Arabidopsis thaliana: one gene and its partner. The protein of the gene in region 2 interacts with the protein of the main gene of each other region in a pairwise test. Each region holds a gene or a part of one and is shown on either strand. Other genes may lie near its edges.

What was found. The genes of interacting proteins can lie anywhere in the genome.
Region 1: the proteins of ATCTH (region 2) and HAT2 interact in a two-hybrid assay, tested with the Arabidopsis thaliana proteins (one large-scale study listed by BioGRID).

The regions. Positions count from the first base shown.
Region 1 is NC_003076.8:19,213,616-19,221,955, reverse strand, and holds HAT2 (Homeobox-leucine zipper protein 4 (HB-4) / HD-ZIP protein), read left to right. Parts: upstream 1-3,948; 5' UTR 3,949-4,308; coding exon 4,309-4,459; intron 4,460-4,594; coding exon 4,595-4,905; intron 4,906-4,988; coding exon 4,989-5,068; intron 5,069-5,164; coding exon 5,165-5,474; 3' UTR 5,475-5,685; downstream 5,686-8,340. Other genes in the region: AT5G47380 (electron transporter, putative (Protein of unknown function, DUF547)), read left to right, coding at 13-338, 415-484; AT5G47360 (Tetratricopeptide repeat (TPR)-like superfamily protein), read left to right, coding at 6,078-7,511; AT5G47350 (alpha/beta-Hydrolases superfamily protein), read right to left, coding at 7,638-7,928, 8,011-8,133, 8,227-8,265. UniProt on the Arabidopsis thaliana protein: Probable transcription factor that plays a role in auxin-mediated morphogenesis. Negatively regulates lateral root elongation.
Region 2 is NC_003071.7:11,037,522-11,046,069, forward strand, and holds ATCTH (Zinc finger C-x8-C-x5-C-x3-H type family protein), read left to right. Parts: upstream 1-3,809; 5' UTR 3,810-3,952; intron 3,953-4,044; 5' UTR 4,045-4,295; coding exon 4,296-5,243; 3' UTR 5,244-5,735; downstream 5,736-8,548. Other genes in the region: AT2G25890 (Oleosin family protein), read left to right, coding at 1-363; AT2G25905 (uncharacterized protein), read left to right, coding at 8,471-8,490.

The DNA.
Region 1 (8,340 bases), on a different chromosome or scaffold from region 2:
AAGTGATTGCAGCTAAAAGCCTACACTGCATCAAACGTTAAAGAGGAATTAGATGCTTCAAAAAGAGAGTTTCTTGGAGCAAACGTGGTTGTAAAGATGCAGAAGAAAGTGTTATTACCTAAGATTATAGAGAGGTTTACAAAGGAAGCTTCTCTGAGCTTTGATGACCTGATGAGATGGTTAATAGATAACGCAGACGAAAAGCTTGGAGAATCAATACAAAAATGCGTACAAGGCAAACCAAACAACAAGAAAGCATCGCAGGTCGTCGAATGGTTGCCATACAGTTCAAAATTCCGTTATGTTTTCTCCAAGGACTTGATGGAGAAAAAGCCCTGGTGGGTTTAGAAGGATATTGCTTGTGTTATAATGAAAGCTTTCGATGCCCTAATTCTCTCCCTTGTATGTTTATAGTGAGACAATGAAAAAGGCTATCCTTGTGTACAAGAGAAACTATCTTCTTTCCCAGACCGCTCTGGCTTGATTTTTCCTTTTTTACAAAACTAACTAATCTAACTGCTAATTGTGAAATCATAATGTGACATGTATAGTTTGATAAGACAGTGGAACATTGTTGATACGACGACAAGATTTGACAATTTTGGACTTTTGGTCGATGTAATATAACACAAGAGTGAAGAGATTGTGGTTTGAATTTAAGAGTGAACGGTCACAAAACAACAATGTTTAAGTTATTCACAACTTTGCATCATTATAGATTTATAAGCCGAGAAGAGCATAATCTGATTTTTCTTCTTGGTGATACTTTGCATTTTCAAGGTTAATAGTTTTCTTCTGGATCATCATTTTCAAGATTATATGAAAATAATCTAATTAGTACACGTTCATTAAACAAACATTTCGTTTATTCTTGTGAGTAGAAAAATAAGAGACGGATGTTTGACCGTTGACTGGAAATCTATATGTAAGTGGGGAATGCACGTGCGGGTGTCACTACACACACGTGTGCTTCGCTGGAGTGGGTGGTTTTGGGTCGCATAAGAATATGTGCGCCACGTCAATTCCACATGGGTAGCCCATAAGATTTTACGCACCACCCAACTTTCGAAGCTCTCTCTCAAGATTCTCCAATATGATTTTCATTTTTTATCCTTATAATCATTGAAGAAATTATGACTTTAAACAAAATCATTGAAGAAATTATAATCCCTATCTTTATTTTTGGCATGGGAATCTCAATGATCGATCATATTATTACCATTAGTAATAACAAGCCTCAATTTTAACGTCAAAAAATAATCAAAACTGTCACATACGCATTTTCGTTAATAATTAAAGCTTAGTGTTTATTTTTAAAATACTATAAGAGTCCAACAATCATGTGATGCAAACCTCAAATTCCGAGCTTCTCTAGAATAAGAATAAGCTGCTTTGTGTGATGATCATAATTATGCATGTTGATTGATTTTTCCTAAATCTAAAAAATAATCAAATATTCCAGTTAACAGATCTCAGTACATGTGAGAGGACAATTAGACAAAATCTAATGTACTATTTGTTTAGAGAATAATTGGTTAGTTAGGTTAAGGAAAAAACAGAGAGTATAAAATATCCCCAATGATGACCTCGTTCTACAGCCAAAATGCTGTAAAGAACATTCAAAGCTAATATACACATGCATGAAACATATGATTAAGCAACTAAAACCATGATTATTAGTCCTACGCAATTGCCAAACATATAAAATGATTACAACACATACTTTTAAAATATTCCGTTGCCTATGATTTTGTTTTGTGTTGTGGTACTCAACTTTGGATTTGGATCTGTGATGTAGGCCTGCAGCTTTTATTTCAAATAATATATATATATTTTATTTCCGAAGGAAACTAAGTAATCGAAATGGTGTATTCAATTCAATATTTCACTTATCATGTAAATTGAGAAACTAAGGTAAGACTGTAAGAGAATGCTCATACCCTTCTGCACTACCTCCAAATAGACGAGGCTCTACTGAAAAAATCGGAATAATGTGAAATAACAAGTTGCTGTTTGGACGCCATATCTCAATTTGCTATATCTACAAATTAACGATACCAAAGTGCTAGTAGGGGCTAAATGCAGAAATTTAAGCCATTCACCATTACGGATAGAACATGAAATTCTCATTTAAGCTATGCTACTTGAATATGTTCTCGTTAAGAATTGTTTCACCCTAGTGCAAGATCCGCGGTCATGCTCAATTAAGTGCTAAAAGTTAGACTAGTAGACCAAATTTGAATCCGATATATATATTACCTTGGTGCCGAACTCAAACTTAGACATGCTCGAACCTCAACACCAAGAACACTCGATGTTTTTGCCAATACTTACATAAAAGCTATTGGAGGATCACTAATAAATGATTGATCATCAATCATCATGCTTTGCGGACTCTCTTTTTCGTTGAGGGGTAAATGATTACAAATAAACATGCGCGCGTGGATATAACGCACTTGGTCAGTGCGTGTGGCACAAGTCAGAGTGAACACGTGGGACAGCCAGATCACACTGAAACACAACTCCGACATCTTGTCGGATCTTATGTAAAGCGTTGGGTCCCACTTTTCATAATATCTCTCACCACGAAACCCATCTTTTTGCTCTCAATTATTGTCGCTCATTGCCGTATCTCTTCATAATTTCACTATATACATGTCTACGTTAGGCGGAAATTATTAAATTGTTTTTGGAATTTTAGTTTACATGTTATTTTTTTCTAAATAAACATGAAATATATTTACAAAAGTATATCCAAACCATCATTTTTTTATTGTTTACATATACACTAATGACACTTTTATTTGGATTGTGAATTATGATTATGCAACGATCACTAGTAGTTTACTAGAACAATTAAGTTTACATGCTTCAGGCATTGTAAAACAACTATTTACAAAAACTGAAGTTAGTCTACAACTAGTTTTTGTGAAAAGAAAGGAATATTAGACGATAAAAAAGTAGGCAGCAGTTAAAGGAATCAAATAATTAACAAGTTAGCATTGATTGAGGCGGATGGTTACACATGATAAGGAGCAGGCGAGTGAGGAAACAACACAACACGCACGATCACGCTGTTATGACCCACATGCTCCTATCTCCATGTTACTGTACGCAAAGTGGTTATACATTTACACACACTTGACCAATATTGCTCACATTTAAATTTTTATTTCTAAAGGAAAAAGCACAAACATTTAAAGGTTTTACTGACGGAAGAAACGAAAAAAAGTAGTAGCTTTAAAATGTCATTGTTGATGAAAGTAGAAACCATGATGATGATATTTATGTGCAAATATTCATCTCACACGTATATCATTGGTTCATAACCGTTGGTTGGTCCACAACTTTGAACAAGTTCAGATTCTTTTTGATTGTGTTTTGTACCAACCACTCCAATTAGTCAATATTCCATTATATCCAACCTCAAATACTATTTTCCCTTTTCTCTTTAAAAAATATTTGGACAAATAATTGGCTACACTATTGGAGATTTGACTCAGCTCGGTATGCCGTAACTAATCAAGATACTATTTTCTATACTTTCTTTTATTGATATCCACATAATACATGTACTTTGAGTATAATGACGTGTACTTGATTAAGACAAAACGAAGTACGAGAATTATTGTATTTATCAACTTTGAGACATACTACATGATATGGATCATGAAAATTAACACAAGTAGTGCAAATTGCGTTATCCATATACAAAAAACATCGCACCTTGATGATTCACTTAATTGTAGATTACTTTCTCAGAGTGGTCCGGACATTTCTATTGGTTTTAAAGACATTGGCTTTAAATCTTCAGACACAAAACACATATACATGTGTACACTTGAAAACATATTGGCCATCTTATTTGTTTTGGACAAACTGCCATCTTATTATGCATGGGTTCTTGTAAGGAATAAACTAAAAATGTTTGTGAAAGAAAAAGAAAAACACAAATATTGAGAAAGTACAAAAAGAAAGACATGGCAAAGGCCAAAGGGGGGACACAAGTTGGAGATAAAGTAATACAAGTCCAAAAACAAAGAAACAATAATGATGGATTGTAATTAGCCACCTGACAAAATCTCTCATCATTCAAAGTACTATATTAATCCCCTCTCTTCTTCATTACCATCTCACATCTCTCTCTATTTCTCTTCCACAAAGAGTCCTAACTTCGAGTTGAAACAAACACCATTTCTCATCTCTATCTCAGAAAGAACAAACCATTTCGTGTTCTTTCTTTCTCTATTCTCATAAGGAAATATAATTCCTGAAACTGTTGAGTTCTTGTGAAAGGAAATAAAAAACATGATGATGGGCAAAGAAGATCTAGGTTTGAGCCTAAGCTTAGGGTTTTCACAAAATCACAATCCTCTTCAGATGAATCTGAATCCTAACTCTTCATTATCAAACAATCTCCAGAGACTCCCATGGAACCAAACATTCGATCCTACATCAGGTATATACTTAAATCTTCTCTGTTTTTTTTTTTAAAGAAACAGAACAGATTTCAGAATTGAAGTATGAGACTTTTCTTCGTTTCCAAGTAAAATAAAAACAGATCTCAAACTTAAAATTTGATTGCTCTTTGCAGATCTTCGCAAGATAGACGTGAACAGTTTTCCATCAACGGTTAACTGCGAGGAAGACACAGGAGTTTCGTCACCAAACAGTACGATCTCAAGCACCATTAGCGGGAAGAGAAGTGAGAGAGAAGGAATCTCCGGAACCGGCGTTGGCTCCGGCGACGATCACGACGAGATCACTCCGGATCGAGGGTACTCACGTGGAACCTCAGATGAAGAAGAAGACGGGGGCGAAACGTCGAGGAAGAAGCTCAGGTTATCAAAAGATCAGTCTGCTTTTCTCGAAGAGACTTTCAAAGAACACAACACTCTCAATCCCGTAAGTGTAAAAAAGTCAGAGGAATCAAATGATAATTATCGTAATTACTTTGAAATAACCAAGGTTATTATCATAATTTACAGAAACAGAAGCTAGCTTTGGCTAAGAAGCTGAACTTGACGGCAAGACAAGTGGAAGTGTGGTTCCAAAACAGAAGAGCTAGGTGAGATTTTCTTGTCTTAACACCAAAATTGTAAAATTACATTTATACCCCCTTGTGTAGAAGTTTTTACTTACAAGGTCCGATTTGGTTTTACAGAACCAAGTTAAAGCAAACGGAGGTAGATTGCGAATACTTGAAACGGTGCGTAGAGAAGCTAACGGAAGAGAACCGGAGACTTCAGAAAGAGGCTATGGAGCTTCGAACTCTCAAGCTGTCTCCACAATTCTACGGTCAGATGACTCCACCAACTACACTCATCATGTGTCCTTCGTGCGAGCGTGTGGGTGGCCCATCATCATCGAACCATCACCACAATCACAGGCCCGTTTCTATCAATCCGTGGGTTGCTTGTGCTGGTCAGGTGGCTCATGGGCTGAATTTTGAAGCCTTGCGTCCACGATCGTGATTTTTTATTTTAGTGGTGGGAAAAGGGTGTTTTGGTATTTTTCGTTATCGTTATATAGTCTATCTGTGTGGGGTCATTGTAATTTTGGATGATTGGCCTTCTCATGAACTAGTCCTATGTATGATGCAACCTTAAAAAGATTTAAATTAGCAAAAATTAGTTACAAACTTGCTATATTAACCAAAAATTATGAAACTATCTTTTTTTGATATCTTACAAGAGTTCTAAATTAAACCAAAAATTCACAAACGTCTTCTAGATAAATACACAGTTTCTGAGCATGGTATAAGTGTAGCTTATATGCAGTTGCTCAAAAAAGAAAAGAAAAAGAAGTGTAGCTTATTTGAAGTTCTTAACGAAATCATGAAATCTTGTGACCTAATCTGACTTCAATTGCTTTTCCGATTCAGATCTGACAAAGATGTATGAGCAATTCTTATTGGGTCTTAATGGGCTACATTATTATGTCGGCCCATACGTTTAGTCTTTCGTCGTCGTTTCCATCTGCGAAAGCGAAACTCTCCTATTTCTCTCACTCAAGTCTCATTCTTACGATTTTCTTAACGAAATCTTTCATCAATCGCTACACTTATAGCGACCCAGATGCCAAATTCATTGATTTCTCGTCTGGTATCTCCTTCATTACGATCTCAGCCCTCAAAAATCTCAGCTTTACGTTTTTTAACAACTGTCTCAGCCGCCGAGAGATTATACGGCCAGCTTCAAGGATGCACAAGTAATCTCGAGAAAGAATTAGCTTCGGCTAATGTACAATTAGACTCCTCTTGTATCAACGAGGTACTAAGAAGATGCGATCCAAATCAATTTCAATCGGGTCTTAGGTTTTTCATATGGGCAGGAACTCTATCCAGCCATAGACACAGTGCTTACATGTATACCAAAGCTTGCGACATTCTTAAGATTAGAGCAAAGCCAGATTTGATCAAATACGTTATTGAATCTTATCGGAAAGAAGAATGCTTTGTTAATGTTAAGACGATGAGGATTGTTCTGACTCTGTGTAATCAAGCGAATCTCGCTGATGAGGCATTGTGGGTATTAAGGAAGTTTCCTGAATTTAATGTATGTGCAGACACTGTTGCGTATAATTTGGTGATTAGGTTGTTTGCTGATAAGGGAGATTTGAATATAGCTGATATGTTGATAAAAGAGATGGATTGTGTTGGTCTTTATCCAGATGTGATTACTTATACGTCGATGATCAATGGGTATTGCAATGCGGGTAAGATTGATGACGCTTGGAGGTTAGCTAAGGAGATGAGTAAGCATGATTGCGTGCTTAACAGTGTGACGTATTCTAGGATTCTTGAAGGAGTTTGCAAGTCTGGTGATATGGAGAGAGCGTTAGAGTTGTTGGCGGAGATGGAGAAAGAAGACGGTGGTGGATTGATTAGTCCGAATGCGGTTACTTATACTTTGGTGATTCAAGCGTTTTGTGAGAAGAGGAGGGTTGAAGAGGCGTTGTTGGTATTGGATAGAATGGGAAACCGAGGGTGCATGCCGAATCGTGTTACTGCTTGTGTTTTGATTCAGGGGGTTTTGGAGAATGATGAGGATGTGAAGGCTCTTTCTAAGTTGATTGATAAGTTGGTGAAACTAGGCGGTGTTTCTCTTTCTGAGTGTTTTAGTTCGGCTACTGTGTCGCTAATCCGTATGAAAAGATGGGAAGAGGCTGAAAAGATTTTCCGTCTGATGTTGGTCCGCGGGGTTAGACCTGATGGTCTTGCGTGCAGTCATGTTTTCAGGGAGTTATGTTTGTTGGAAAGGTATCTCGATTGTTTCCTTCTGTATCAAGAAATCGAGAAGAAGGATGTGAAATCAACAATAGACTCGGATATACATGCGGTTCTTTTGCTCGGTCTCTGCCAACAGGGGAATTCTTGGGAAGCTGCTAAGCTTGCGAAATCAATGCTTGACAAGAAAATGAGATTGAAAGTTTCTCATGTTGAGAAAATCATTGAAGCCTTGAAGAAAACTGGTGATGAAGATCTCATGAGTCGTTTCTCTATTGATTAATTCAATTTATTCAGATAGTATGCTTTTATTATTCATATAAGAAGAAGGATTATTGTGTCACACAATCATCACTGAGCTTATTCGACATTGGATGAATTAGTATAGCGATTGAACTATTTGCTCATTTTAAGGATGCAAGGGCTCCTTGGTCTTGCGGTTGAGTCTTGGTGGGGCAGACTGTTGATCCTGGAGAAGAGGTACGACGTATTTGACGAGATCTTCGTCCGCCATTATTAAGTGGTCACCGGTTACATTCACAAACTGCACTTTTCCAGCAACAACCAATGCTTTCAGACCTATCCAATCTTCTATATAGAGCTTTGTCTCTTGAACAGGGAGAACATGTGTTAAGTCACCATCCGGATAAAACCCGAACCAAGATGACTCTTTTGGAACAATAACCGTATCGTTCTCAAACTGTATAAAAGAAAAACAAATCATCACGAGAGGAATCAGAAGATAGTAGACAACTATAATAGTTAAGAGAAGAGAAGCGAACCAGGACAAAAACCAGGTTCTGTAAACTTGCGAAACGGTCTTTGTAAGTTGTGTTTCTTTCGTATGGTCTCTCATTGTTAAGCTTAGGTAGATACTGACAGTCTTTCAGGTACCCTGTCACATTCTGTGAAACAGAAAAAATAATGTTAAGCTTAGGTAGATACTAATTTGTTGATTTTGCAAGTTTCCTAATAAACTATGGTGAATAGAGACATACTTTAGGGTTTTTGAAATAACCACTAGGAGCAAGATTATCCTGCAAAAGTCATTCAAAGATTTTAATTAATTTTCTAATTGACGACTTAATCATATGATGTAAAGAGAGAGAAAG
Region 2 (8,548 bases):
AGATTCGTAACGGCAGCTACGATCGGCCTATCACTCCTCGTGCTCTCAGGACTAACACTAACCGGAACGGTGATCGGTTTGATCGTAGCGACGCCGTTGATGGTTCTGTTCAGCCCGGTGTTGGTACCGGCAGTGATAACGATAGGGCTTTTGACGATGGGATTCCTATTCTCCGGTGGTTGTGGGGTGGCAGCAGCTACGGCGTTAACGTGGATTTATAAGTACGTTACCGGAAAACACCCGATGGGAGCGGATAAGGTGGATTACGCGAGGATGAGGATAGCGGAGAAAGCCAAAGAGTTGGGACATTATACGCACTCGCAGCCACAACAAACACACCAAACCACAACAACTACTCATTAGAGTTTAATAATTATATGGATCTATATGTTGTATTAAGTTTTATGATTATCCTACGTATGTTTTTTTAATACTGTTCTTACCTTTTTGAAAAGATCTATCTAAAATTTTATTTTCTATTTTCCATACAATTTTTTGTGTGTTTAATTGCTGATCGGTATTTTCTGTTTTATGATTGTGAAATAGCTAGTGTAAGGAAAGATGATAACGAATTAAGTAAATTAATAAATGCCAATTACTTGGTCACCGTCTGGCTTCTAGAATTATATGGTGGCTTTCTTGGTATATGTAAATGTAGTTTTGAGTGTGGTCCGTTTGATTTGAAATAATATTGTTGTTTTTATGTTCAAAAAGAAAATTGCAAGGTTTGTGAATTTTGTGTATCAATACCAAGGCTTGAACCACTTTATCTATACTCGCTAAATAAATTTCGAAGGCTGCGCTAAATGGCTCGTGTCATTTACGTTGTCTTCATGAACGTATTGTAGTTAGTGTGATTGTAAAAATATTTCTTTGTTTAATCATTCCTCAAAAATTGTATTCGGCCTTTGAGAGATGCGGTGAGGTCGTATGCATGTTTTCCCAAATTTCGAATACTTGCAAACTGTTCTATGAATGTGGTTTTTAGGTACTCATGAAATAATTGAAAACTTTACTTGTCTATATGTTCGTAAACCATTGGCATTGAATTGCATGGCATGGCTTACTATGCGCGCACCAACAAAATGCACATGCATGCTTCACGAACGTATAAAGAAGCTGAGGGTGGACAACATTCACTGCTTGTAGTGGGCAATGCAGTCTTGTAGAGCAGTTGTACTTTCAAACGAGGTTCTTTGTCAACGTCTGATTGGTTTTCTAGAATAATTGAAGGAGTACTTTTGTCCTTATCCTCGCAATGGACTGAGTAAGTTTCCTCCGCGGTTCCCTACTGGCCATGAGCTATGAATTTTTCAAGTGGTGGGTGCCAGGTGCCGGGTGGGTGCGGCGTTAGGATTATTCCTAAAGTTGAGGATCGATATACGGTTAAGTTTTTTTGTTATGGAGTGGTGTTTCGTAGTTTGTCATTGCATCAGTTTGATAATCTCTTTCTTCTAGCACCAGATTGTTTAGATAAATGTTAGGATATATGTGGAAGCAAAGGAATGATGTGGTTCACAACCAAGTCTCGATCCCAATATCAACTATCTTCAAGCTCATCGACAAAGAGATTCAGAACGTAAGCACCGCAAGACGTAAATGCAAGCGTTATTGCAACCTAATGCAAACTCTGGTTAATTTTAACTCCCACTATGTAATGTGACTTCTACATCATTTGTCTCTTTGTTTAATTTTTTGGCCAAAGATTCAAATCCATTGATATTCAGAGACAATAGTCTATATGGATTTATTAGATATAGTCTATATGGACTTATTAGATGATATTAACATTCATAGAGAAAACAACAAATTAGGATACGTTTTCTTTCTAATGAGAAAGTGAATGTACGAATGGTTGTTGGGAGGCTATTGTGTCTCGTAGATATTTTAAATAATTTGAATGTTTACTAATATAGAATGTGTATTCAATTATAACTATTTAAATTATTTTATTGTTGGTTTAGACGCATTCTTAAACTTTCACATCATTCTCTCGTGACTATTATAATAGTTATCGTGCTCGATCAATCATCTCGTGACTATTATAATTTTATCAATAGTTTATGCATAAGAGAACTGATAACGATCATACTTCTTTTTGTCATTATGATAGCTTATGATTAATCATTGTTTATCCATACTTGACGCTTGTAAGTGAAACATATGTTTAAATTTTCAGGCTTAATTTAATAGCCACGAACCAAAAATTATCTTATAATAAAAGTTTGGTGCGATTTAAGAAGATTTGTCCCCAAAGCCCTATCTGAAAGAGGTCAAATTGGATTATTAAATTCAACATATTAATCAATTTGATATTTGTTTAATGGTCTGATTAGTGACAATTATAAGTCTAATATTGCGAATCTTTTGCAGTGAGTATTCCACGTGATATAGATAAGTTTCCCTTAATGGATAACCTTTGCATCAAACAATTAGAAAACAAATGGAAGAGTATCAATCAAGTAGATCTCGAAGCAGTGGACCCTAACACGATACTGGAACATGGACCAAACCTTAAAATATCGTCCAAATTGCTTATTTTCTGGAAGGTTACAAGTGCACAACACTCTAATAATATATGCCCCGCATAACAATTTTTAAAACTATTTCATCTTAGACCTCGGATATTTTGAAGGAAGCACATTTTCTTGAAAATCACTAGGTGACTTGTGTTTCTTTCTTTGGAGCATGTCAATTTACTCCCATCAGCTGGAGAGCCAAAAGTTAAAATTAATGTTCGAAATTTATTTCATAAAAGCTACGTACGTTGCATCCTTCCATGATCTAGAAAAAATGGGGGACAATAACCAAATTTATTCACTCTTGTCAGGTCATGGGGAGTAGTCTACGACCTTGAAAGTCACGTGACAAGTAATATATACTGTACCGTCCAAATATTTTCTTACTGTAATGTCTTATGTTTCATATCGCTAGACCCTTAATATTAGTGTGGACTAATTCATATAATTGCAAATAAAATAGTATGATTCTACGATTCTTCAAAATGATCTAATAGTTACAGTCTGGTCAAAATGATCTAAATCTTTATAAACAAATAACAGCTACGGAATAATTAACACAATTTTTGGTGATAAACTTTGAGTTATGATAGAAATTTTTTTTTTTTCAATTTTTAATGTGTATCTTAATTTCTTCAATTAATGTATCCCTATGTTTTATGTGACTATATAACTTTTGGTTAGTGATACTCCAAAAATGTTGTTTTAGGTTTTGACACACATATTAATAATTTGTTTTATTTTTTACTTTACAAAATTTCTTATTGGTTAAAACATAAATCACTGCAAATAAAACTTTAATTTTGTTTGTAGTCAAAATTAGCTTTTAAAAATGTAAATTGATATTTATTCTAATTATTTTTTTAATGTTCTGACAATTAATTTAAAACGGAAAGCGTAATAAAGTAGATGTTGGGGCTGATTGGTAACGGCTGTTACTTTTGAACTCTAAATATTTCGGATGTTACGACTTTGACTGTAAAAATTTTGGTTGTAAAAATTTTGACGATAGAAACTTTAACTGTTAAAGTCTGATTGGTACAAAAAAATCACAATTATTTTTATTATTATTTAATATTTTTTATAAATATTATTTATGCTAAAAAATCAATTTATTTGGTAAAATAGTAACTAAAATAAATTTATTTTAAAAAAATACAAAATTCATTTTACAAATTCACTATTTTAAATATTTAAATTGGATCTGAAAAGAACAGAAAAAATAAAATTCGAATTAATCAATCGATTTTTTAATGATAAAATATAAATAAATTTGAAAAGAGTTTTGAAATTTTATGGATAAAGAAAAAATATTTTTATTTTGTTTTATTATTCTCTTTTAAAGTTAAAGACTTTAGGAAAAAAACAAAAGAAAAAAAGTAAATGGAGAGAAAAAAGCTTTTAAAACTTTAAAAATTAATAAAGTTTTAAAAGTGTGATTGATTAAAAAATAAATTTGAAAATTTTTAAATATTTTTAAAGCTTTGAAAACATTTTTTTTTTTTTTGGGGGGACAAATATGAAGAAAAAAAAAAAAAAAAAAAGACGAACATGAAGGGGAAAAAAACAAAAGACGAACAAAAATTGGAGATTTTTTCTTACACGTGTCATCATCTGCAGATTTGCGCTTATTAATTGTTTACCGTACGGTATTGTGGATAGGGTCAAGATTTTCATAACTTTACCGTAGTTAATATTTGACCCAACCATGGTTAAAATAAAGCAGTTTATATCACAGACACACACCTCTCTCTCTTCTAGACTCACTAAACAAAAATGATGATCGGCGAAAATAAAAACCGGCCACATCCAACGATCCATATCCCTCAATGGGATCAAATCAACGATCCAACGGCCACAATCTCTTCACCATTCTCTTCCGTCAACCTTAACAGCGTTAACGACTACCCACACTCTCCGTCACCGTATCTCGACTCCTTCGCTTCTCTCTTCCGTTACCTCCCGTCAAACGAGTTAACAAACGATTCAGACTCATCAAGTGGCGACGAGTCATCACCACTCACCGACTCATTCTCCTCCGACGAGTTTCGCATCTACGAGTTCAAAATCCGGCGATGCGCTCGAGGTCGATCTCATGATTGGACGGAGTGTCCGTTCGCACATCCCGGAGAAAAAGCTCGACGACGTGATCCGAGAAAGTTTCATTACTCCGGCACCGCTTGTCCTGAGTTTCGTAAAGGAAGTTGTAGAAGAGGTGATTCGTGTGAGTTCTCTCATGGAGTTTTCGAGTGTTGGCTCCATCCTTCTCGTTACCGTACTCAGCCGTGTAAAGACGGAACTAGCTGCCGGAGAAGAATCTGTTTCTTCGCTCATACGACGGAGCAGTTACGTGTATTACCTTGTTCGTTAGATCCAGATCTTGGATTCTTCTCAGGATTAGCTACTTCTCCGACTTCGATTCTTGTTTCTCCTTCGTTTTCACCACCGTCGGAATCTCCGCCGCTTTCTCCGAGTACCGGTGAACTTATTGCGTCGATGAGGAAAATGCAATTGAACGGAGGTGGTTGTTCGTGGAGTTCTCCGATGAGATCTGCAGTTAGGTTACCTTTTTCGTCGTCTCTGCGTCCGATTCAGGCGGCAACGTGGCCGAGGATAAGAGAGTTTGAGATCGAAGAAGCTCCGGCGATGGAATTTGTGGAATCTGGGAAAGAGCTGAGAGCGGAGATGTATGCAAGACTCAGTAGAGAGAACTCACTCGGTTGAGTCGACTTGGATCGAGTCTTTGATGACGTGGCGACTCGATCTGATTTTGTGAATATTTTAGAGATTTTTAAGGTGTTGTGGATAAATGACGTGGCGGGTCGATCTTAGTGACGGTACAATCGGACGATGAAGAAAAAAGCGTTAAGAGTAACAAAAAAAGGAAGAATTTGTAAAGAGATGATAATGAGAGAATTTGAGAGCTATTCTTCTGGCTTTTTTCTCTGCAGTTTTTTTTATTGTTTTCGTTATTTTCTTGTTTTTATTTTGGTTTTCGGCTTTATTTTGTTTGTTGTTTATTAATGTTATATCATTTTGTAATTAGTTCTCAAATGTATTTGGATAACATCTTAGTTTGAGACTTTAGAAAAGAACATTTCATTTGTTGTTTCCTTCTTATCGATTTCGTTGTTATAATAGTAAGAGGATATAAATATTTTTTGTTGGCCTGTTCTTTTTCCAAACGCTGCGATCATATCCAGCGACCAAAAAAACAGTTGCTTAACACACAATTACGTTGAAGTCTGTAGAAAGTTATGTGAAGAGGAGTCGCTCGATTTTAAAAACAGCGACCTATAAGGCATATACACGTGTCGCCAAAAAATAACAGCAACTTAACATTTTCACTAAGGACGCCGCCGGCGTCCATATTGAACGACTGTTTTTGTATCTCCGTTATAATTTTTGCTTTTCGTCGGAGTCCCTATTGCTGTCACAGCGATTAATAAACGAACAAGCCCAACAATTAATCAGAGAAAATAGTCTCGAGAAAATAACTCTCTTGCATCATATCTCTAATGAACATCAAATCTGCCTACAAATTCTATTTTTAAGTAAACATATTCCTTTTGACAAAAAAAAAAAACTATTTGGCTATTTCCAATGGTAGACTAGATCCACTCTGAAAATAGACTAATGACTAATGAATACTCATAATTTGGATAAAATTTTCATTTTCAGAATGATTTTCAAATTTAAATATGTTTTCAGTAATACACGAACAAATCTATATGTTTTAGGTATACATTGGGCATTTAATCAATACTAATATGGTTATCCAGTTAATTGAAATTTAAAAATACAACAATAATGTATTAAATTAAAAAATACAGTGACATAACAAACGATAATTTTATACATAATAAGTTATGAAATTTAACATAAAAACTCAAACAAACATAACAGAACATAGACTAGTAAACAGTTTTGTTTAAAAACTAATAACAAAAAAGAAATAGAATATGGTACACAAAAGAGAGTAATGGTAATCAATCCTATTTGCTTCGTGCAAATAGAGAGCATGAGACTCTTATTACTTACTTAGTTTGAGGAGAAAAGCTATGTTTTTTGTATTTTAATTATTAATTTTGAATAATGTATTGGTAGAACTTCTCTTATGAAATGAGATGTTTTTCTATTTTAATTTTCCTATTTATTGATTATGCTTTTTATATAATAGCTAATTTTTTAAAAAACATATTATTTAATTTGAATCGTTTTTGAGTAATGATATGAATGTAAAATCAAAATTTCACGTAACTTTCAAATTTAATACTAAAAATAGTTAGCATCAATAATTAAAAATGATACCAAAGGATTTATAACCTCACTAACAAAAATGATGTTTATCTTAAATTATAACATCATTTAAAAGAGTGATGCTAAATTGTTTTAGTTTCACTGAATTTAGCATCGCTTTCTAAAATGACTATATAATTCTACCGTCAGTTTAAAAGTCAAACTAACTTATAAAAAAAAAACTGATGCCAGATTTATTTATTTATTATCTTTTTAAAAAAATTTTAGTGATGATGCATCTCAGTATCTCAATGTTGTTTGTTTCTAACTTTCTATATTTAGTTTATAGTTTTATTAAAAAAAAAACTATTACATGGTCTAAAAAATCATAATTTTAACGTGAATTGTTTATATATGCAGTGAGTAAAACAAATAAATTTTCAGAATGCATTCCTCATTTATGAGAGAAGGAGTGTAATTTCTTCGCTTACTTTTTGAATGGAAGAAATCGTGTAATTTCTTAAAGTTGAATGATACTGCAATAATTATACAAAATGTTACTAATTAAGTAAAAAAAAAAAAGAAGAACAATACAAGGAACTAACAAACACAATTTTTTTTTTTATGCAAAATATAAGTAAAATATAAGTAAAAGATAAGCAAATGTACAATTTGGTTTTGATTAACCTATGCGTTTTTTTAGTATTTGGTCAAACCACGAATTAACTTGTTTCCAAAAACAAATTAGAAAAATTTCTGACTTTGGTTTGGCATGGTCTACAGCAGAGGGCAGAGAATCGATCAGGACAAAGTGTTTTGGAACAGCTGGTTACATTGCACCAAAATAAGCATGTAAGATTCTTCTTTAATATGTCAATATTTACATCTGATCACCAATATATTTGATTTATGACTCCTCTTTGTAATTACAGTGACTAACTACAAAAGCTGATGTCTATAGCTTTAAGGTACTTCTCATGGAATTAGTACCAGCCATCAAGCTATTATATGAAGATGATCATCACATTCCCAGTTGGTTCACGAAAGTATTCATCGACAAAGACTCATTCGAAAAAGCCATTAACAAAACCATGGACCTTAACTAGAAGACCGCATCATCATTAATGATTGACTAAATAAAGATATTATTTAATCTAAATGATATATAATATATTATTATAAAATGTTCATTACAGACATAGTTTTTTTAATATATCTGATGACAAATTAATACAAATGCTTATACCAACAAATAAAAATAATGAAAGAAACTAAATGATAAATAAAACTAAAACATAAATAAATAAATAAAAACAAATACAATCTTAGAGAGATAACTCTTGAATACGTATGACCAAATTAATCTTGGTTCCCCATAAAAGATATGAGTTTCCCACTCATATGTATGCAACTTCTTGGTGTTATAATAGCTAGGTCTCTATGCGTCTCAAAATTTTGTGGTGTTCTACTTTGTAATGTCATTTTTATAAATTCGAGTTTTCTTTTTATCACTTTCGTGTTTTGTCGTCTAGAAAATTCATGGTTAATCACACGTTAAATGTAGCATTGTTGTTTAATTAGATCATTCGTGCTTTGTTTTGATCGTATAGCTCAAGAGATTAATTACAGTTTGTTTTTATCGATAAACATGAGTGAGATGGTGTTGATGACAATTGGAGTTTATAATCAAAAGTTGTAATAAAAACCTAACTATGGGAATCTTGTCACGCAGGTAAAAAAGACCCTTTATCTCGTTTCTCTTATTGTTCTCTCTAAAATCGGATTGGTGA